Schizosaccharomyces pombe: one gene and its partners. The main gene of each other region encodes a partner of the protein of the gene in region 4 in a complex. Each region holds a gene or a part of one and is shown on either strand. Other genes may lie near its edges. The genes, in order: rad15, ssl1, tfb1 and ptr8.

The links.
Region 1: ptr8 (region 4) and rad15 share a complex: the UniProt entries of both Schizosaccharomyces pombe proteins name them as parts of the 7-subunit TFIIH core complex.
Region 2: ptr8 (region 4) and ssl1 share a complex: the UniProt entries of both Schizosaccharomyces pombe proteins name them as parts of the 7-subunit TFIIH core complex.
Region 3: ptr8 (region 4) and tfb1 share a complex: the UniProt entries of both Schizosaccharomyces pombe proteins name them as parts of the 7-subunit TFIIH core complex.

The regions. Positions count from the first base shown.
Region 1 is NC_003424.3:662,143-668,551, reverse strand, and holds rad15 (transcription factor TFIIH complex subunit Rad15 ), read right to left. Parts: upstream 4,205-6,409; 5' UTR 3,771-4,204; coding exon 1,452-3,770; 3' UTR 905-1,451; downstream 1-904. Other genes in the region: MAP kinase kinase Byr1, read right to left, coding at 1-399. UniProt on the Schizosaccharomyces pombe protein: ATP-dependent 5'-3' DNA helicase, component of the general transcription and DNA repair factor IIH (TFIIH) core complex, which is involved in general and transcription-coupled nucleotide excision repair (NER) of damaged DNA and, when complexed to TFIIK, in RNA transcription by RNA polymerase II.
Region 2 is NC_003421.2:382,109-386,704, forward strand, and holds ssl1 (transcription factor TFIIH complex subunit Ssl1), read left to right. Parts: upstream 1-2,082; 5' UTR 2,083-2,364; coding exon 2,365-2,582; exon of another isoform or gene 2,583-2,712; coding exon 2,713-3,760; 3' UTR 3,761-3,939; downstream 3,940-4,596. Other genes in the region: SPOM_SPCC1682.06 (uncharacterized protein), read left to right, coding at 269-659, 705-1,030; meiotic pumilio family RNA-binding protein Mpf2, read right to left, coding at 4,016-4,596. UniProt on the Schizosaccharomyces pombe protein: Component of the general transcription and DNA repair factor IIH (TFIIH) core complex, which is involved in general and transcription-coupled nucleotide excision repair (NER) of damaged DNA and, when complexed to TFIIK, in RNA transcription by RNA polymerase II.
Region 3 is NC_003424.3:3,519,184-3,524,584, reverse strand, and holds tfb1 (transcription factor TFIIH complex subunit Tfb1), read left to right. Parts: upstream 1-2,195; 5' UTR 2,196-2,214; coding exon 2,215-2,260; exon of another isoform or gene 2,261-2,297; coding exon 2,298-2,384; exon of another isoform or gene 2,385-2,429; coding exon 2,430-3,092; exon of another isoform or gene 3,093-3,137; coding exon 3,138-3,321; exon of another isoform or gene 3,322-3,378; coding exon 3,379-3,922; intron 3,923-3,965; coding exon 3,966-4,043; 3' UTR 4,044-4,412; downstream 4,413-5,401. Other genes in the region: protein Png3, read left to right, coding at 487-541, 589-660, 941-1,449; SPOM_SPAC16E8.18 (uncharacterized protein), read left to right, coding at 1,612-1,935; rsm7 (mitochondrial 37S ribosomal protein uS7m), read left to right, coding at 4,825-5,358. UniProt on the Schizosaccharomyces pombe protein: Component of the general transcription and DNA repair factor IIH (TFIIH) core complex, which is involved in general and transcription-coupled nucleotide excision repair (NER) of damaged DNA and, when complexed to TFIIK, in RNA transcription by RNA polymerase II.
Region 4 is NC_003424.3:1,759,542-1,765,169, reverse strand, and holds ptr8 (transcription factor TFIIH complex ERCC-3 subunit Ptr8), read right to left. Parts: upstream 3,624-5,628; 5' UTR 3,384-3,623; coding exon 969-3,383; 3' UTR 851-968; downstream 1-850. Other genes in the region: SUMO deconjugating cysteine peptidase Ulp2, read left to right, coding at 1-2, 57-293, 378-834; SPOM_SPAC17A5.19 (uncharacterized protein), read right to left, coding at 3,715-3,894, 3,939-4,037; SPOM_SPAC17A5.05C (uncharacterized protein), read left to right, coding at 4,799-5,542. UniProt on the Schizosaccharomyces pombe protein: Probable ATP-dependent 3'-5' DNA helicase/translocase. Binds dsDNA rather than ssDNA, unzipping it in a translocase rather than classical helicase activity. Component of the general transcription and DNA repair factor IIH (TFIIH) core complex.

The DNA of each region.
Region 1 (6,409 bases), 1.1 Mb from region 4:
GTTTTTATACTGAAAAGCTCCATAAAAACCGACTATGTAGGGTGAACGACAGTGGTGTAGAACACCTAACTCTCGCAAAATCTGCTTCTGAAGTTTAGAGTCTGACCCAACATAAACTGTTTTCCTAGCCATAAAAATATTTCTATGCTTTACCAATGAAACAGCCCCACCATTTCCCTCTCCCAAATGCCTCACTACTTCCAAACTGCTATTGTCCAAATCAGATATCCAAGCTGGGCGTCGATTCATATGCGCACATTGCTCCATAAATGCTTCGACATTGGATTCAAAGCTTTTTTGATTGTTAATTAACTCTTCCTTATGATCATTATCAGAGCTTTTAACAGAGGCGTTAGGATTCAACACAAGACCTTTTGGATTTCGACGTCGTTTAAACATTTCTAGCTATTGGCCAAATTCTCAAAGAAACCTGTATCGAAGATTATATCATTTAAGATACTATTAAAGTTGCTTCTTTTTCTGTAATTTGACAGCTGACTGTATTCAATAAGTTACTTTGCTAATCAAAGATACAAAGCAGTAGTTATGACAGGATTCTGACTACCCCAACGTGACTAGAGACAACCCTTGCAATAAGCTACACTTATTTTTTTTTCTATATTTAAGAATTCCTGAAAGCGGTATCCTTTTTGTGCTAGAGTAATTTTTTTATACAGTAGTTTGGTAAAGAAACCATCATTGATCTTATATGTGCTTGGCAATTACGTATAAGCCAACCGTGAATCCGTAAAACCAAAAGATTTTTTATTTTCAAGAAATTTATATATTACATAGAATACAGCAATGAATCAGTTGTACAACCCCAAAACGTTCATTTATTTAGAACTAAGTATGGGAGACTAATTTTATCGACATAAAACTATCAAGGAAATTTTTTAGATTATGAGAATATATTATGAATATGTAAACTTTTGTTTTATGTATCTAAATGATAAACAGATGTTTTGTTTATATAACTAGGCTTACAATTACTGCATCACGTATTTTAACTAGCTCGCTTAATGTAAGCTTAATTTCCATAGCAGCATGAAATTGCCAATAATCACTCTTTGAAACGCTGGATTGTTATTGATGGGATGGAAAATTTAAGAAGCATTACAACAACTGAAACCGATTTTATTTGAACACAGTCTCTAAAAAAATTTTAAAGTACTTCGAATTTAGCGACTCGCAAATTAATTGCCAACTGAGTGTAAATAATATTTTTTCTCTGCTCTGCGATCTTAAAACAATTCGTAAGTAGCATGCGTATCGTGATGACGATTGAAATGTCCACTATACAACTCTCGAATACAAGTTGATACATACATTGTCCACACCTACAAAAAAGTTAGCCATTCGCTTCCAAATATCTTCATCGCTGTGTTCATGAGTTTTGGATTGCCTTAGTAAAGATGATTAGAATCAAAGTATTTTACAAATGGCTTCTATTAAGTTTCAACCACATCAATATCCATCTCATCCTCATGTTTGGATTGTTCTATAGCCGCAGACTTCAATGCTTTCTTCTGATGAATCAACAAATCATCAAGACTCCACCAAGAAATCCCTTCCTGATCAGACGCAGTGAAAGGCTGTGCCATAGTTCGTAAAAATTTTTTCGCCAAAGCGAGGGACATATCAGTGCTTAAATTTGTAGCGCCTTCGGTTATATACTGTTGAATCCATTTAGGTAATTTTGTACGCTTATCAGACCGACCATATCGTTTATCTGCTAACACCATAATTCCATGATCATCTTTTCCACGCAAAACGCGACCTAAACATTGGGCAGCATGCCGCATGGCATCAAATGTTAAGAAATCTGCTTCCCGAATTTGATACGTATCCCTCAGAAATTCTAACCGTGCTTTTAAAACACGACTCTCAGTATACTGATACGGAATACCAAACATGATTACTGCTCTACCATAATGATGATCAAAATCCACTCCTTCTGAGACTTTTCCTCTAGCGACTGACAGCAATACTGCTCCACGGCCATTGCTGCAAGCAGCCCGGTAAGTCTCTAAGGCGAGAGTTGTTTCATGAGGATCTGGTGTTTCCACCAAAATCAACTTATACTTCCAGACTTCATCTAGAATACCCATACTTTGCCAACTAGAAACAATACTTTCAAGGTAGAGATAACTTGGAAAAAATGCGACTAAGCCATCAGGTGTAATTTTCGAAAACTCAACCAGTATATTACCGTAATTGCGAACAACACTAGGATCATTACGGGCTTCAAATTTTGAAGAAATAGCTACTTGATCGCTACCCCGAGTAACTACCATAGGAAGGAAACAGTTTCGTGCAAGTGACATTCCATACGATTCCTGCATAACAGTATTAAACTGCAACATCTTGGGGTACATATCGAGGGGGGATAAAGTACCACTCGTGATAATCACAGACCTAAATCTTTCGAAAACTGGTTTAATAGCTATTGAGGCGTCAAGACAGGAAAACCGCAATATTGGATTGGGAACTGTAGCATTTTCTGTTTCAAAGGGTTCCAAAATTAGGATAAATCCACGCTCATAAGTAGCAACAAGGGTCGCAAAAGCTACTACTTGCTGCAAAGAATGAAAATCTTCAACTAGTGAAATTTGTAAGGCACGAACAAGACTAGTGAGTCGCTCAGCGCAAAACCGAAGCGGCTTTTTGTCTATAAATGTAATGTCTTTAACATGTTGCAAAAAAGAAGTTGGTGTTTCAGCAATAACGTGCAAAACTTTCATCCTTGTTTTTAAATATTCTACAAAACGCTTCAAAAATGCAATAAAATGTTCGGCTCGTCGAATATTTCCAGGAACAGCTTCCTTTAAAACATCCTCAGGCAAAACGGGATTCGCCATAAACTGGTCTTCGTCATTTGCGGCATTAGCATCTTGAAGGCCCCGAACAAGCTTTTGGTATTCATCCTGAAGTTTTTTTGAGTCAGACTGTTTTACTTCGTTGACTTTTTGCTCAAGAGACAAAATGCTCTTCGAAGCTTTTCTCAAAGAAGATTCTGTCAAATCAATACTTAAAGACTCAATACACACATTGTCAATATTGTGTGCTTCATCAAAAACAACAATGCAATCTTTACTGAGTTCTCGAGAAACTCGTTCAGCAATTTTGGGGTCTAGTAAATAATGATACGAATAAATAATAACATTACAAAACGGTAGCATACGACGTACAGTAAAATAGGGGCATCGTGTAGTTTTTTCGCCGTATTCTGTGATATCATCAAGGGTCCAAACACCGTTAGATATAAGGCTGTGTGGCTCAAGATCTTCCAAATTGTCGTGGAACTCACAAGTAGGAACATCCATACCAGCCAATCTTTGCTCCCGCACAAAACCCGCCGTAAGTGAGCGACAACGGGCATCTACCACATTCCCATTTTTTTCACGACGAACAGAAGGGTGTAAACATAAATTTTTGCGACTGGTTAGTCCGAGACCCAAAAATGGTTCTTCATATCCTAACTGTGAAGTCCGATACGCCATTAAACGCTTCAATTCAGCTAATGCTTTATCAATTTCCGACATGGTACGTGAACAATAGATGAGCTTGCGATGCTCAGGATAATGTTGTTGATATGAAACAATAAGGGACAAAAGAGAAATGGTCTTTCCAGTACCCGAAGGCATTTCTAAGAGCGCAATGCCTCCCGCATCCAAAGAATGTTTCAAATCACACATATACTGATACTGCTCGGGATAGATGCGTGGATAAGGAAACAGAATAGGTAGATCGTCAATATAGAACTTCATTATGGGTGTAATCCGTTGACTTTGAGGAAATTAATTTGAGTATATGACAGCCTATTGGACCAAAAAAAAATTTAGGAATTAAATAATAAGATAAAAAGTTGAAACAAAAGAATTATGAACTAGCATTGATGAATAATAGTGGGTAAAGATCGCTTAACAATCGCTTCATAAAAATGAAATGAATAAAGCGAGAAATAAATTTTTATGGGTATTATAAGAATGAGGTAGGTTCTGCTTTGGTTCAATATTTAGTCGTCAATCACTGATACACAAATATGAATAAGTTCACAAAGATAAATAAATAAACATGGGATGGAAGAGGGTAAAACAAAACGAACCAAGAAATAATTCTGACCTAAGGTTTAAGTGAGCTACTTTACAGTGAGAATCTCAGGAGAAACTACTTGTCGATCCAAGCTTAAAGAATGAGTCCTGAAATTAACAGTGGCTGCTTTATATTTGTAGTGCATATAGAACTGGATTATGAAGAACGCTGAGTTGGTACGGTAAACATTTATAAGCAAAATACTGTAAAGTACGTTAAATTGGATAATATTCGTAAATACATGGTGTACATACAACTATACATTGATGGAAATGACATGGTTAATGGAAGATGCAATTGCTTAATAAATACTAGTTTATTGGAAAAAAAATTCGTATTTTCGTAGTTACCGAGCATAAGCGCTACTTTGTTTTCTGAAAACAAGTTTCCGCAATACTACTCCTAAATAAACACAAGGCAAAAAGAATACATTTGCAATATTCCATTTATTTTGTTTTACAAGTCAATTCCCGACTCTGTAGACAAGTGAAAAAGGGCAAACTCACATATAGCTGCTGAATCATTTGCAAACTAATAACCGCTTATTCAAGCTTAATGAATATTATTCTAAAGAGGGAAAAACAAATACATACGTATCAGGATAAAAAATAAAAGGAATTAGAATCGCCAGGTGAGCAATAAACAGCAAGTCACCGAAGAGTTATCTTCTTGAAATCATACAGAATACTATATCAACAGTTTTTGAAATGAATGAAGTGGTTTTTTATTATCCCGTAATCACCGGTTAGTACAGTTTACCGGTTTTAATGACATTCCGTATGTTGAGGAGACAATACGGATTGATTTGCCTGTTCACTTATGTGTAGATGATAAGGAAAAGTGCTTTATCAATTTTTCACGAATTATGAAACCCATCAGCAATCATGTTTAATGAAAACATACCCAAGGTTGACATCAAGCAAATCAGCAGATCGTCAAAACTGTTACGTTTTATTTTACCTAATGTCTCTTGGCAATCTCTATCAATCATCGATGACAAGTATTGTGAAAGATGAAAGATGATTAGTAATGATCAATCTTGATATTTTAAAAATCTCTCCCATTCACTAATTTCTGGCTAATTAATTAACTCACTACACATCTAGTATATCGACGAGTATCCGGCTTTCGGGTATAAAAGAAGAGCATGAAATTCCACGAAAACAAACTTAACGAATCATTCATTAGCGATGCTACAAAACAATATACTGTTGGAGTTTGCCGCTCGGTAACAAGAAAATGGCATTCATAACAACGACCCATTCCAACCGTAATGGGCCATACTGAGTTTTTCTGTGGTTACTCAAAATCGTTGATCAAATTCATGGTAGCTGTTTCTTGATTCACTTTTACTCGGGACTTGTAAAGCCGATTTTCGGAAAAGTGTGATGAATAAATGACGCTGTCGGAAACAACTGGTATTTTTGGGTTGGCGAGTAGGTTATTTTCTACAAAACATACAAATAATACAATACATTGCTAGCAAAATCAATAGTGCATATATAGTACTAATAACAAAGAGTATTTAAAAAACAACATATCGATTTAGCAGAAAAAAATGGGAAGGAAGGTATTGAAATAGAGGATAGATGGCATGGCTCATTAAATGTAGGAAACCAAAGTAAGGATGACTGGTTTGAGATTATTTCCTTACATCCCGTAACATGCAAAAAAATGCAGCAATTTAACACGGTGGAGGGAAAGTATCGAATTTTTTTACTGGTAAATGTAATATATTGGATTGAAACAACTCCGCTTGCCATTATTAAATAAAAAATAATTCTTTTCGTTAACTAAAAAGTGAAATCAAAATTAATTTAAAAAAAAAGAAAAGTTAAAGGAATACTATGCTACCAATATTTCCCTCGAGTTTATATTGATAAAGCATTTAGCTAGGCTTACAAATAAGTTGCTTGCTTCATATATATCTTATTACCTGTTTGATAGTGAAAAACAATATTCAGCCCCAACGGTTCGGTTCCTTTTTGCTTAATTGTACTACCACACAACACAATACAAAGCTTAAATCCTGAACCTAGGAAATGGGTATGCGGTCCGTTCAACGAATGTTGAAGTTGCATCGTCCTAGATAATCCTAGGAGCAAAAGCTTTGATTGCTTGCTCAGCCTTTGCTATGAGAAAAAGGAGTCGATAACTTGAGAACACAGCGATCGGATTTCCCTTTAAAGATGGAAGATTCATTTGTTACATAAGAAATTCATGTCAAAATGATTTCTGTTTACACTGCGTTTTATAGATGTTACTATGTATAGCAAGATTAATTAACATGTTATTGTTATTTGTTATTATGTTT
Region 2 (4,596 bases), on a different chromosome or scaffold from region 4:
CATCGCTATTATAGCGTATTGGTACGCAGTACCTAATTAATGCTAACTTGTGCGTAAATTGATATTGACAGCACAATGATTCAATTTCATTCCTTAACAAGAGCCATCTCTTTTTGTTGGATGCTTAGAACGCGTGGATTTTTAGGCTATTCAAGCGTTTGGTTTTGATCTATTTATCTATTTTATATTTTAATTTCGCATTTTATTTTGCAATGTTCAAGTTGAAACTCAAACGTATATAATCACTATTGGTAAAAGGCTCTTCAAAATGCCAGACGAAAAGTTACCTCAATACAATGAAGTTTGGAATGATTTGGAGAAGGGTTGTTTACATTCTTGTCCTTCATATTCAGTCAATAATCATGTAAACAATCCAATTGTCAAACAAAACTCAACATTAACACAACCATCGTTACGAAAAAAAAATACAATGGCTGCACCTGCTAGATTAAGAAAGCGTTCGGAAAATGTGCGACTTACACAAGCTAGATATGCGATATTTCATATCTTCCTTCCTTTCATTCTTACTTTATTGCTTTATCATAATTTTTATAATTATTTCGATCAGGCATTGGCGGATCTTAATTCTGTGGTTAAATATGTTATTGAAACTATAGTGTTAATATTTACATACGTGATGACAGTGATTATTGTTTATTGTAAGTTTTTGAGATGATTTGAATTCATGACTAACGATTTTCTAGTTTCATTTTCGTTAATTAAATTAGCGTTTGAAGAAGCTTATGTTTATGCACCGTCTGTAGCTAAAGCGAATGAAGGTCTAGCTAAAGCGATTGCAGGCCTAGCTAAATATGTAGCTAAAGCAATTCAAGGTTTGGCTCATATTATTTTATCCTTACTGTTGTTTATTCTCGGGCTCGAAGTAATAGAACAAGATGAAGAGACTGGCGACGTTGAAATGTCGTCTATGCGAGGCCAAGCAATTACCACAGAGCCAGCAAGTGACAATACAATGGCTGAGGAAACCGATTGCAACACTTCTAAAGATGTAGAATCGGGCAGCAACTAAAAGTCATGGCTAGAGAAAAAAATCAAGGGGCTGCCAACAGTTGCGAGGGTTTTTTTTATTTCATCACTAATTTTCTTACTTTCTTGCAAAAGTCACTTTTCTCCTTTATTTCTATTCCTTGTATTATTATCTTATATGCATCATCACTTAATCATTTTCGATGACAGTCATCACTATTTTTGTCTCTGTTATAGAGCAAACACGATGTGTATTTGTGGTGCTAGGAAAATTCATTTAACTAATGAATCTGTTGTCAATTATAGATTAATCATCCTCTTTATTGTTTTACCAAATTGATATACAATCCTTAATTGTGACTTTGTAAGATTTGCGACTTAAAAAATTGTTCAATTAAGACATTACTCAAAAGATGCAAAGTAGTGATTTAACCTTTTTTTTTGTTGGATATATACGAAATAAGGATTCCATTCATCATTCTCAAGTTTTGGAGTTTTAAAAACCAGTATATACAGCAAATATAAGTTGAAATTTGTTTCTAAGACAAATAAAAACGAAAAAATCGACCTTGGAGTAGAACGAGAACTTCTTAAACAATGCGATTTCGCAATTCCTAGTCAGTAGCCAATTTCTGTTCGAGAAAATCAATTAAATGAACTCTTTCGTCCTGCAAACCATCCAACATTCAGCCTAAGCGAAAAGTAATTATTCTTCTTATGTCCATATCACTTGTAGCTTTACATAAAATATTGGCAATTACGCAGTTTGCAAATTTCTAAGTCTCTACTATATTGCAATATGCAGTTTGTACAAATAACCGAGCCATAAATAATTTTATAAAATACGATATATAACTCATCCTTAAAGAATGAGGAGTACAGATTTATTTTATATTCTTCTTTTACTTTCATAATTTCCTAAGTTTTTTCAAATAACAGAAATAGTTGTATACAAATTTCATATCACAAATCAAAGACTGATAAACACGAATTAACGCAGCATAACGAAATTCATTATTATATTTAACAAATAATGGTTGCGCTCCTTGTCCGTATTGTCTTCGTGTAAATGGTCTCTTGTTCTAGTACTTACTTAGTCTTACCATTTTACTGGTATGCCCAGGAGTCATTGCTTTTTAAAAAAATAAAACTAAAAATAATAAAAGAAAGAACTTTCGCTCATTGCATGTAAAGCAACTCGACGCGACTATTCAAATTACCAAAAGTTCACTGGGTAAAACGTGACTTGAAGAAATACATTCGCTTTGAGTTCTTTAGTCTGTAGAAACCAAGGAATAGAATTTGTGCAATATTCATTTATCTAATTATCAAATAGCGTTCTGGCATAATACCTATGCTCGGTTAAAATAACACTCAATGAATGAGAACCAAAAAAGTTTTGACTCTGACAAGTCGGAAAGCGAGGATGAACAAAAAAATGGAAGAGTTAAAGTAAGAAGCAGGAAAACTGACGATAATGAGGGTTATACTTGGGAAGGTGAATATCAGCGTTCTTGGGATATCGTACAGGAGGACGCAGAGGGTAGTTTAGTAGGCGTTATCGCTGGGCTTATTCAAAGCGGGAAACGTAAAAGGTATGGCGTATCAAAATTGGTTTTCTTATGTTCTTCATTTGTTTGTTAGTTGCCTATGTTGGGCATTTGGAAACATATTAGTCTTTTATAGCATCGATGAACGGTATACTAACTTGTCAATCTGATTTAGACTTCTTAGAGATACAACTCCGTTACAACGAGGTATTATTAGACACATGGTCTTGGTGTTAGATTTGAGCAACTCTATGGAGGAGCGTGATTTTCATCATAAGCGGTTCGACCTTCAGATAAAGTATGCTTCTGAATTTGTTCTTGAGTTTTTTGAACAAAATCCTATTTCCCAATTATCGATTATAGGCGTAATGGATGGAATCGCTCATCGGATAACTGATTTGCATGGGAATCCTCAATCGCATATTCAGAAGCTTAAATCTCTTCGAGATTGTAGTGGAAACTTCTCTCTTCAAAATGCTCTCGAAATGGCTAGAGCTTCTTTATCACACATTGCTTCCCATGGCACTAGAGAAGTCCTTATCATTTTTGGTTCCATCTTATCATCAGACCCTGGCGACATTTTCAAGACGATTGATGCTCTGGTTCATGATTCTATTCGTGTCCGTATCGTTGGTTTGGCTGCTGAAGTCGCCATTTGTAAAGAAATTTGTAATAAAACTAACTCATCTACGAAAAATGCCTACGGCGTAGTCATCAGTGAACAACATTTTCGCGAACTTCTACTCGAAAGCACAATACCTCCTGCTACTGATTCGGCTAAAACCACTGATGCTTCTTTGGTAATGATGGGATTTCCTTCTAAGGTCGTTGAGCAATTGCCAAGTCTTTGTGCTTGCCATTCAATTCCGTCTCGTGGTGGGTTTCATTGTCCTCGTTGTAAAGCAAAAGTTTGTACTTTACCGATCGAATGCCCTAGTTGTTCTCTCGTTCTAATCCTTTCAACACATCTTGCTCGATCTTATCATCATTTGTTTCCATTGAAAAACTGGAGCGAAATTCCTTGGTCCGCAAATCCAAAGTCCACTCATTGCTTTGCGTGTCAGTTACCTTTTCCGAAGCCGCCGGTTTCACCGTTTGACGAATCTACTTCATCGATGCGGTATGCATGTCCCTCGTGTAAAAATCATTTTTGTTTGGATTGCGATGTTTTTGCGCATGAACAACTTCATGAGTGTTATGGATGCCAATGCTCCGGAAATTAAAGTTTCTTTTGGTATATTAATGAACGCATTTATTTATAATAATTATTTTAAAATACTATTATGCTACTTATTCACAAATATGTAAAGAGATATATATTTCAATTTACTTATTTAAAGAGATCGTTGCTTAACTACCTTATCCGGAAGATAGTGAAAATTTGATCTATTGATGCTTCAGTAAGTGTTAGAGCTGTATCATATATAAAATAAAAACTAATTAAAATGTGGAAATGAATATATCCCTATATTTACAGATCAGAGGTCAGTATTGCAGTTGTAGTTGATTACAGAGGAAACCTGTTTTTGAGAATTCCATTTCTCGACTAAATAAGCAACCTTCTGACCGTACTTGCTTCCCCGAAGAGAAACCATGTGCTTTTTTATATGCGTAATGACAAGGTTTTTCTCAGCTGGTTGACCAAGTTGAATTATTTGCTGAATTAAATAGTTGCCATACTGATCAGATGCAATATCGATTAAAGGCTGCCTTGTTCGGTCAACTCTCGCGTTTGTAATTTGTTTTAGATATAAGGAAATGAAATTTTTTGGGCCAGACTTAATTGCTTTTTCAATGACCTTAGAGGCAAATTGGTCAATACTAAATTCCACTGCACGATTCAATAATGCATCAATGACTCTTTTCAAATCCTCTCCTTGTCCGTTTTCTACCATGTGTTGCACCACCCAGTTTCCCCATTGACCACGTGCAATACCGTCTAAATGAAAAATGATTTCCTCAATGCATTCACGCTTATCTTTCTCTACACAGTTCTCAAACATATTTTGGACTACGAGACTTCCATTTTCCCCGACTGCAACTTCGTGCCATTTTCCTC
Region 3 (5,401 bases), 1.8 Mb from region 4:
CTTAAAAGAACCAGAGGTGCCAAGCAAGCGTATGAAAACATGAATGTGCTTAATTAAGCTGACGGATTGGCCATTGACTAAAATGCAAGCAACCTTTTGAAATGAACATACTTTAAAATGACTTGAATTTTTTACTTTATTATAAAAACTGATCACTGACCCATGAGGATCCCGTATTTCTTCGGGACGATATTTTCCTAGTTTAACGCATTTCATGAACGACCACTACCAACTAGGTACAATAGTTCATACTCAAGTAAAAGAAGCTAGGTGTGTTTTGGAGAACAGCTATATAAAATAAAGTTTTGAAAAAGCTTTGAAGCAAGCCTTATAAGTGGAAAACCGAGATTCTTTGGTTCGATTGCACTTATATTACAGACGTAAACAAAAGGAAGCAAAAAGCAATGCTAACCTTGGGCAAGTAATAAAAGTCAAACTAGAAAGAATCCTCATGAATAGCTGTATATAATCGACAAGTCGTCAGCCATGGCAAAACCAAAAAAGGAAAATGACTTGGATCTTCTTATACAACTTGCTGACGGTAATAAATGAACATGTGTAAATAAATAATTTTCTTACATTATTTAGCATTGGAAGCTATACCGGGTGATTTATCCAAAAATTTTACGGAAGTCCGTTTTTTAGAGGCTGAACTAAAGGGTAAGTGATAGTGGCATTATAGATTGGGATTTTTTGCTTGAACAACTGTGAAGGTTTTGATAATAAACAAAAAAATGAAAGATTACTAGTGAAACCGTTCTGGTGTTGATTTTCTTTGTTAATGTTTAATCAATCTGCTTAGGACTTGTTTGAACCTTGAATATGTTATTCAAAAGGACTTGAACGCTACTGAGGCTTATAATAAGTTTATGTTGTTCTTATCAAAACTTGCCTATCTAGAGCTTGCCTTTTTCTGATTTAAAATGATTAACATGTTCAGATGTGTATTCACAAGCTCTTTCTTCAATTGATGACCTTCTTAACAGAGATACTAGTGTTGAACGTCGTAATTTAGTCGCTCGAAACTTATCATTACTGTTAAAATCCGATGATGTACAAACTCGAAAAAAATCCCACATTGCAATGTATGCAGAGGCAATTACTCATAGTAATGTTTTACGTTTAGAACACTGTTATCAAAAGATGGAAATGAAATTACCAAATTTTTTTATTCCTTTCACTCCAGAGGTTATAAAAGAGCAAAAAACTTCGAGACCTATTAGAGCATCCCGGCGGAGAGCCAATTTAAGGAATCGCCGTGCTAAAGAATTGCTAGCAGCTGAAAACGCATCGGAGGAAGGAGATAAAAAGCAAATAATCACGGATTCTGGTAAACTACCAGAGACAGAGGAATTAACCGAGACCACAAATGAAGACCTCGACATCAAACAATTCTCTCCCTATTCTTCAGAGAGCAGTGCAAACGTTTCTTCTTACAATAAATCTTGAAACTTACGTAAAGCCTTATATTATTAAAATTCTTGCTTTTTTGTTTTTCTAATTGAAATACACTAATAATAGTTTATCCGGGATTAGCTACTAAATTCTAGTCATTCAACAGAAGTCACTTTGAAAACATATATAAACTCATGTCTTTCCATACTGATTCGAATGGAGGTAACTTCTTTCATACTTAATGCTACGTTTAAAGAGTTTGCATGTTTTGGAAACAATTACTTGATAATACTACCAGGAATTATGTTAGAAAGGAACGTATTTAGACATTTGAATTACTCTACAAATTCTATTTGTAGCCACTATCAGTTTTTTGGCGGACATTACGAATCTTTTGAACTTTTAGTAGTGATAGTTTATTACTTTTCACATGTTGGTTCTTTCTCTTTGGCTGAGATATATCGTATTACCTGGGATAAACGCATTGTACTTTATGGAACAACAACCACTCTTGTCTACTGCTCTGAAGGGTCGGATTGATTGCGTATATGATTAATTCATATTGTATTTTTTTAAAAATAAAACAGGGCTATAGTTTTAGATAACTGTCTCTTATAGGTTACCTATGTTCATAGCTCAACTTAATGAGGATATATTTACCCAAAATCTAAGTGTATATGATTTGGGACATCAAGAAACCATTCAAAACTTTTATTTTTCTAATGATTTTCGTAGTTTCCAATGTTCATCCTGTGTCTAACAAATCTTGATAATTTCGTAAAAGACTAGCGGTGTATTCCACAACTACCAAAATATCTGATGGGAGACAGGGTAGAAGCATTAGCCATATTCAGAAAAAAACAAGGTAAAATAACAATTAAATCAATGATTCTAACATGCAGGCGTATTATCTATCGATAGTAGATTAAAATGGACGGGGGAAGGGAAAACAACACCATCAGTAGATATTGCTTTTGATGCAATTTCGAGTAATAATAATTGTTGCATTTTCGAGATTACTGACAGATTGATAGATCTTCAAACTACTCCAGCGTCTAATCCAAAAGTTATGATTCGTGTTTTTATAGTAGTAAAGGAAGGTGAAGATCCCACTTCTTTAGTATTTCATTTCACCGGTACTCCTAATGCCAGAGAAAATTGTGATATGATTACTAATGAGTTGAGAAATGCGATACAAAGACAAAGGGAAGGCTCTCAATCTAAACCACAAGGAGCCAATGTCGATCGTGTAAATTCTACGAATCTAGAAAAGGACATCGACTTACAAGAGTCTTTGCTTACTAACAATCCCGATCTCTTACAAACATTTAAGGAAGCAGTTATGAAGGGACATTTAAGTAATGAGCAATTTTGGAGCACAAGGCTTCATTTGCTCCGCGCTCATGCTGTAGAAAGGTCTCAGCAGCGTGGTCCTTATAATGTCTTGTCTACTATTAAACCTAAAACAGTGGACAACCAAATGAAAGTTTCCCTTACCGGCCAGCAAATTCACGATATGTTTGAACAACATCCATTGCTCCGAAAGGTATATGACAAGCATGTGCCTCCTCTAGCAGAAGGAGAGTTTTGGAGTAGATTTTTCCTTTCCAAGCTTTGTAAAAAGCTTCGTGGCGACAGAATTACACCAATGGATCCCTCTGATGATATAATGGATAAGTATTTAAAAGATAATGAAGGTAATTTCTCCAACCTAGATGAATTCCATTTCTAACATTTTCAAGAGGTAACCAAAGTATCGGATGAACCTATTGCATCGCACCTCTTTGATTTAGAAGGAAATGATCAAAATGCAAATGTAATAGCAGAACTTAGACCTGATATCACTATGCGAATTGACAAAGAAGCTCTACCGTTTATGAAAAACATCAATCAGCTTTCGGAAAGACTTTTGGAAAAAAGTTTGGGGTATGTATATTCGGTTTTATTAATTGTTATTGCTTCGGTATGCCTAACAACTTGTAGAAACTCTAAACGATTTAACAACGAAAATGAAGAAACATACTTAAAAGAATCTGGTTTTCACGATTTAGAAGAAGAAGCCAGTGACTCTAAAGTTGTCTTAAAAATCAAAGGTCAAGATCAGTTATTGGAAAATAATTTTGTCCCCTCAAAAAATCAAGTTGGTTTAGAGCCTTTGCCTTCATTGGAAGCTCTTCAACATTTATACCAGGAAGATTCGATAAGCTTAAATCACATTGAACATGATTCTGACTCTTTGGCTGAAGCCGCTATGCAGCTTACTCAGAGTATGCGCGAAAAGCATGAGTTTGAGACCCACGGCACTGCATCAAATTTACCTATTGACATAAAAAATGAAATTGTTTTGTGCCATACCGTTACGATAGAATTTTTGCATCAATTTTGGAATGCCTTGTTGAATACAACTTTCCCGGACAAGAAGGCGATGGCCCCCCTTCAGAATGCTCTGTTAAATTCGAAAAAAAGGGTGGAGGCAATTGCGAGCCAGGCTCAGGAACAAAACGTTGATCCAAAACTGGTTTATGAGGTAAGTTTTTTTTGTAGAGATTTTGATTATTAACTAGGATTAGTTGGTATCCTGTACGCTCACTTCTATTGATACGTCAATCTCGGAGTATCAAAGACGAATGTCTTATCCTCCTGCTTAGGTTTGATAATGTCTTTGGAAACTCAATTGTGCTTGTAAAAGGTAATTGTTTCTGTTTTTCCATATAGAGGTTAATGATATATTGATATATTCTTTATTGGACTTAATGTTCTTTCTTCATAAAGGCTGGAAAAAATGAACATTGAAATGCTGGATATGGCTCTTTTTCTGTTTATACAACTCTTGAATTAAAAAACTTTTGTTTTGGTTTATAGATTCAAAAGACAATCAAAACTGTTTTTAGATTACTGTGCTCATAGGCCAAAATCTAATGTTTTTATGTCTTTATAGATTTTATTATTTATTAAAATTCGTTTTATGACACGAATATAGTATGTTATAAACTGATGTTCAATTAATTAATGTCCCATAATTTCTCTCTTTTGTTTTAAATGCTTGTTTTTACAATTTTTCAATTTATCGCTTCTCTGTATATTATATATAACTTTTTTTTTTACTTTCTTTCAAGGTATCAGTTCTGTATGATCCCAATAAAACTGTGTCTAGCTCAAGTATTAAATTTGGATACACAATTAATGATGAATATTTTAACATCGATTACCTAATTTATCTTATTTCAAGTTAATAAATAAATAGCCAAACGACTTTGAAATGTAGCACGCTAGCGCCTAGTTCCCTTCCCTTTTCTTTCATTTATCCATAGTGTATATGTACTAAGCTTAAACATCTACGCACACCTTAGCTTTCCTACATGCTTTGATTAATAAGAGTAATTGTTTTAAAAATTTCATTCAAGAAGAAAGAACAAACAATAAAGGGCCATGCTACGACTCATAAAGCAACCTTTGTTTCGATGTGCGAGTTCGGGACATTTGATGAAAGAGTCGCTTGTTTTTATCCATCAGACTCGTACTTTTCAAGTTGGAAAATTTACCTCAAATGAAAAATATAATGAAAAAATTGAAGATATCAATGAACGTTCAAATCCACAATGGGATAATGCGGGACTCGAAAATTTACTGAATCAACTTCAAGATTCTGTCGAACAGTCTGCCTCCGACGATTTTATGGGTGAATTAGAGAAAAAAATTGAAGTTGAAAATGAAGAACCGCCGCTAATGGGTACAAATCTGTGGCCTTCTCCGTCAAGTTCAATTGTAGGGTTAATAGATCGACCATTTCAGGTCGACTCTACAGTACAGCATTTGGTGAATTTAATAATGCGAGATGGGAAAAAAGCTAAAGCTGAAAAGATTGTTGCAACAGCGCTCTCTATCATACAAAAAGAAACCGGTGAAAATCCTATAGATGTTTTGAAACAAGCAATCGCTGAGATTTCTCCCTTAATGAAGTTGGTACGTCGAAATTATTGAAAATTTTGGAATTTTTTGTGAATTA
Region 4 (5,628 bases):
GGGTATGTAACAGGCTTTACTTCTATCAATTATTTGATCACTAATGGGTAATATAGCAAGCGGCTAGGTCATAGAGGAGTTCGAAAGTGGACTCAAAAAGTTGACCTTTTCCATAAAAAATACATTATTGTTCCTATCAATGAAACATTTCATTGGTATCTAGCTATTATCTGCAACATTGATCGATTAATGCCTGTGGACACAAAACTGGAAGAGCAGGATGAAATAGTTATGTCGTCTGTGGAACAACCGTCTGCTTCAAAGACTAGACAAGCAGAATTAACGAGCAATAGGTATGTTAAAGGTTTACAATTTTATTGATTAAAAGGAAAAATATATCATAAATCATTTGATTCAGTTTACTAAGTTAATTATAGTCCAGCAATTTTGATTTTTGATTCTTTAGCAAATCTTCATAAAGGAGCATTAAATTACTTACGTGAATATTTACTGGAAGAAGCTTTCGAAAGGAAAAATGTACATCTTAAGTCCACTGATATACGGGGGTTTCATGCAAAAGTCCCGCAACAAAGCAATTTTTCTGATTGTGGTATATATGCGTTACATTTCGTCGAACTATTTCTTGAAACTCCTGAGCAAGTGATAGCCAATACTTTAGATAAATCTCTTAGACGGACGGATGCTAAAAACTTCGACCAACAGTGGAACCTTCAAAAGATTAACACGATGAGATGCGATTTGAAGGGTTTAATTCGCCGTCTGTCAACTGAGTGGTCGTCTAACAATGAACGACAATCGCTTAGCAGCGGAAGCAACGATGAAGAAGATAAAGAAAATGATGATGATTTGGCAATATTGCCAATCACAAATTAGAATTTACAAGGGAATTAGGGAAATCATAATTTCATATTAAAACTTAACGAAAGCATTATTATCAAAAATTTTAGCGTAGAAAAATCAACAAAATTCATGTCTATATCGTGTGTATGCTAGCATGTATAACTTCGCTAGCGACGTTTAGTATACAGGTGCTTCCGAAATAAGGCATGATGTTCTTTACTGTCCTTTTTCAGCTGTTTATTAGCACTCTTGTTATATTCCACGTATGCCATATTGTCGGCACCAGCCAATGTACTTAAAGAACCACTAGAACGTTTAGCTTTCGCCGGTGCTCTAGAGAGACTTCTGGATCCAAAGCTAGTATCCTCACCGTCATCCAAATCAGCTGCTTCTTCATTTTGTAGCAATACTTCCTGCAAAAGCTCAAGTCTCTCCGCTTTGGAGGCGTAAGCCAAATTTGGCAAGTTCTCCATACCCTTTAAATTAGTGATGACTTTAAAAGCATAGCCTTGGTCAATTAAAAATGCTTGCCGTTTACTGGAATAATACATTTCCTGAGTGTCTTTAGATACCAAGCTATAGAAAAATGCGTTAAAGCCTTCATCATTTCGTCGCTTGGCACGAAGAATACGCCCCAAACGTTGAGCTTCTTGACGCCTAGAACCATAATGAGAAGAAATCTGAATCAAACAGGTTGCTTCAGGAAGATCAATAGACGTATCACCAACTTTAGAAAGGAAAATGGTATTTACAAGTTCATTATACTGGAAATTTTCCAAAATCCTCATTCTTTCCTGCTGTGGAGTTCCACCATAAATAAAATATTTGCCTAATTTTATTGCATAAGCACGCAAAGCATAGACATTGTCTGAAAAAACGATAATTTTATCACCACGTTTTTCGTGATAATCGATGAGGAATTGACAAGCCTGAAATTTTTTAGGATTCATGATATAAAGTAGCATTCTTTTTCGGGAGTTTTCTCGAAGATATTCATTATAAAACTCAGTGGTCATCGCGCACCAAACTTCGGCGCATTGAACCTTAGCGATGTGACCTTTTTGTGCCAAATCCATCCAATTTGCTTCGTACATTTTAGGCCCAATCAAAAAATTTAAATCATCAATTTTATCATCCTCACGAACTAACGTAGCAGTTAACCCAAGCTTTGTGTGAGCGGCAATTGTGGTGACAACTCGCCGAAACATGGCAGCAGGAACCACATGTACTTCGTCTAATAGGATAAACCCCCATTCACGTCCCGTAAGAAAATCCATCATTTTTTGAGAATCATAGGATCTATTCCTGGTATTGGCAACCATTGAGTACGTGGAGACAACCACACCTGCTTCGCTGTGAAACCGTTCTTTGTGATCAGCAGTAAAAACCGCAATGTGATCAGGCTTGATGTTGCTCCACTGTAAAAATTGTTGACGCCATTGCATTACCGAAACAGAACTGGTGCAAAGCACGATTACTGATTTTTTGATAGTACAAGCCGCTGTGATACCAACCAAGGTTTTACCAGCTCCACATGGTAATACAATAATTCCACTTCGAGCTCTACCATTTCCAAACATTTTACTAAGACTCTTTTCTTGGTATGGACGAATTTGAGTGCTTGGCTTAAGGTCTATAGGAAGATCTGGATTGATGTTGTCATTACGAAAATCGTACTCTTCCAATAAGGGATAATCAATCTCTGCACATCTCTTCTTGATAGTTTCCACTGAAGAGTGCTTAATTTCGAAAAGATGAACGGCATCTTCATCATCTTCCTCTTCCTGTAAGCCTACTACTGCCGAAAACAGTTCATCAGATGAACTTTTCTCAGCAGTTTCTTTTGAGGAATCATTGGTGATATCTTTTTTGTCTTCCACATTATCTTCATTGGAAGGCTTTGAAGACTTCTGCTTGCTAGACTGGGTAGAATAATCGATTCGAAGAGGGCCTATGACAGGATCTCTTAATAACAGTCGTAAAACACTTGCATCTCCACTTTCAATAAAATATCTGTTTTTCTTCAAGACCAGTTTGACCTTACCGTAAGAGACAGTACAAGCGCGGATAAAGTCTACGATAGAAGGAGGAATTGGGGTTTTTGAAAGTCTATCAAGGACTGCTATTATATCTTCAGTTTTTAACCCAACGCTAACAGCAGCATAAAGTGAATATGCAGTAATTCTATACTCATGAATGAAAGCGGGTCGAGAAACTGGCTCTGAAATTGTTACCAAGAAGTCGATAGCTTGCTCAGCCAATGGGCTGAATGCTTCAAGGATAATTCTACCATCAATTGGATTAATCCAAAGTGGCCTAGCCGTATGATCCAATTTTAAACCTAGTAAATTAGAAAAATCGTTTTGGCCAAACATAGCAGAAATCCCAGATTGGCGGGCTTCATTGCTATTAGTCGTGGTTTGTGCTTTAGTTTTATTGTTGTTTATACGAATCCTGGGTGCAGGCTTGTAAGAATCATCATCCTCTTCACCGTAATTGTCAACATCGCTGTAATCGCTATATTCTTCTAAATCCTCGTCAGGTGTCCCTTCCCTTGCATTATTTTTTCTCTTTAGGCTCATTATTTAATATGAAATGTTTATAAATAGCTAATGACTCAAACTCTTTGAAAATGAGTTGCCGTATGGCAATAATAATTTGCAGCAGTAAACGACAAACCAAGATGCGAGGCCAATCAAAAGAAATTTAAAGCAACAACTCTCAACTGATTATTAAGTTTCGTAACTTTTCAGCTGTCACTTTTAAATTTATAAGCACAAAAGAAAAGGAGGTTCTCCTGTGGGTGTGTGTGTGTTAATGGCAAATCACTAGTAAGATGAAGCGATTGTTAGTACCACCAAAATACTATCATTTTAATCGAAAAATATAATAAATCTAAATTTTATCTTGGGATTAATCACTTTTGCTAGGTAATAAGGGTGAAGAGGCAGAGTACCCTGGTGCAATTCGTTTAAGCTTTTCAAGACGCTCTACTTCAAGATTTTTTTTCCAGTTTTGATAATTTTCTGTTAATTCTTCATCTGTGGGTAATTTGGTTGACATAACATCTACATCTTCAAGATTTATTCGAGGCTAAAATAGCTTGATTAGTATATAAATTGGCATCCCAAACATACAATTGTATTTACGCCATTCTGTAATAGATTAATTGACTCCTCTGGGAAGGGAGGTATTTCAGGTATTAGATTTTTATTCGGTATTCGACGAAGCGACATTATTAAGTAAGAAAGGTCTTATAGGCAAAGGTTAGGTGTATACCAGTGCTAACATTAGCATGCGCAATGGATTCGTAAACTTGATTCTTTAATTCGAATGAACATCTACTTTATGATACGAAACTCATTTGAAATTTTCACTGTTAAACAATCATTTCGTCAACAAACGTGTTTACAATAACCTTATTGTTAAGATGTATCAATAAATCATAACTGAAACCAAAAAACTAACGAAAGATACATACAATGCACAAACTAAATAAAAAATTATTTATTTGTGATTTGTATGCTTATGCTGTCGTGAATCGAGATTTGTTTTAGTCAAATTTTCATGTTAGTTGAATTTATCCGGTTTGTACTAAGTTCAGTATACCTACTACATAAGAAATCTCATCTTTCGTTCATTTCATTGACATATCTCCTTTTATTTTATATCATTTCTATTTCTACGACTTTACTTATAAAACTTAAAGTAGTAAGGACGGTGGAATATCGAGAACAAGTCGTTTGTGCGAATTCGTGATGCATATTGAATAAACTCGGTTAACTCACCATTTTCTTGTCAAATTGGGTATCTTGATAAATTATATTTAAATTTTTTTTTTGCTTTTTGCATCGTCGCGTGAAAAAACAAAAAAAAAGAAAAACGAATACCAAATTTAGAATTTGCAGTTAATTAATTCAAAATAATTTATTACTTTATTAACACTGTGAGAGATTTGACATCTGGAATACATTATTTCTTTACCCCATAATTAAAAATGAGTTGGCGTCCTACTCATTCAGTCAGAAATGCTCCTTACTCAATGAGAGATAACTATGCGCAAGGCGTAGATGTTTATTACAAAAAGGTAGGAGGGACTTATCGAAATTTGCATTTTCGGGGATTACGACTTTTGCTATTGCAGTGCTTAAGTCATTTTTGGGATCATGATGAAAAGTTTAAAAGTCACGGATTGCATGTTATAGATTTGGCATGTGGAAGTGGGGAAGTTTCAGAAACAGTTATAGAATGGGAGCATTTAGGGAGGGAACTGGGTATACATGGAGGAGCTTTTAAAGTCCGTAAAGAAATTTCTATACGTTCTATTCCACCAGAATTACCTCCTTTTGAGCTTATAGCTACGGACCCATTTACTTTAGAAGCCTACACAAATCGCATTGGTAAGCCATGCTTAACGCTAAACTTTCAGGATATTGCTGATGAAAAACTACCTCCAAGTAGCGCTGAAGATGGCATATATGACCTTGTAATATGTTCTTTTGCTCTTCATTTACTTACAGAACCATCTAAACTATTCTCTACTTGTTATGCCTTATCTGTTCAATGTCGCTGGCTTTTAGTCTTGGGTCCTCACAAAAAACCTGAATTGAAACCTGAATGGGGTTGGGATGCTTGGAATATAGACACCTGGTGTCCTTTGGGGTATGGTATCTCTCATGATTATGTCTTAGAAAGGGTGCATGCTCGATTTTTTAAAAGCCGAAATTTAATTGACGGTTAAATCTGATGAGTTTCTGGAGGGCTTTTTTAAAAAAAGATCATAGCTTTCACTAGATGTATCGCTTTATGTGATTTTTTTTGTTCTAT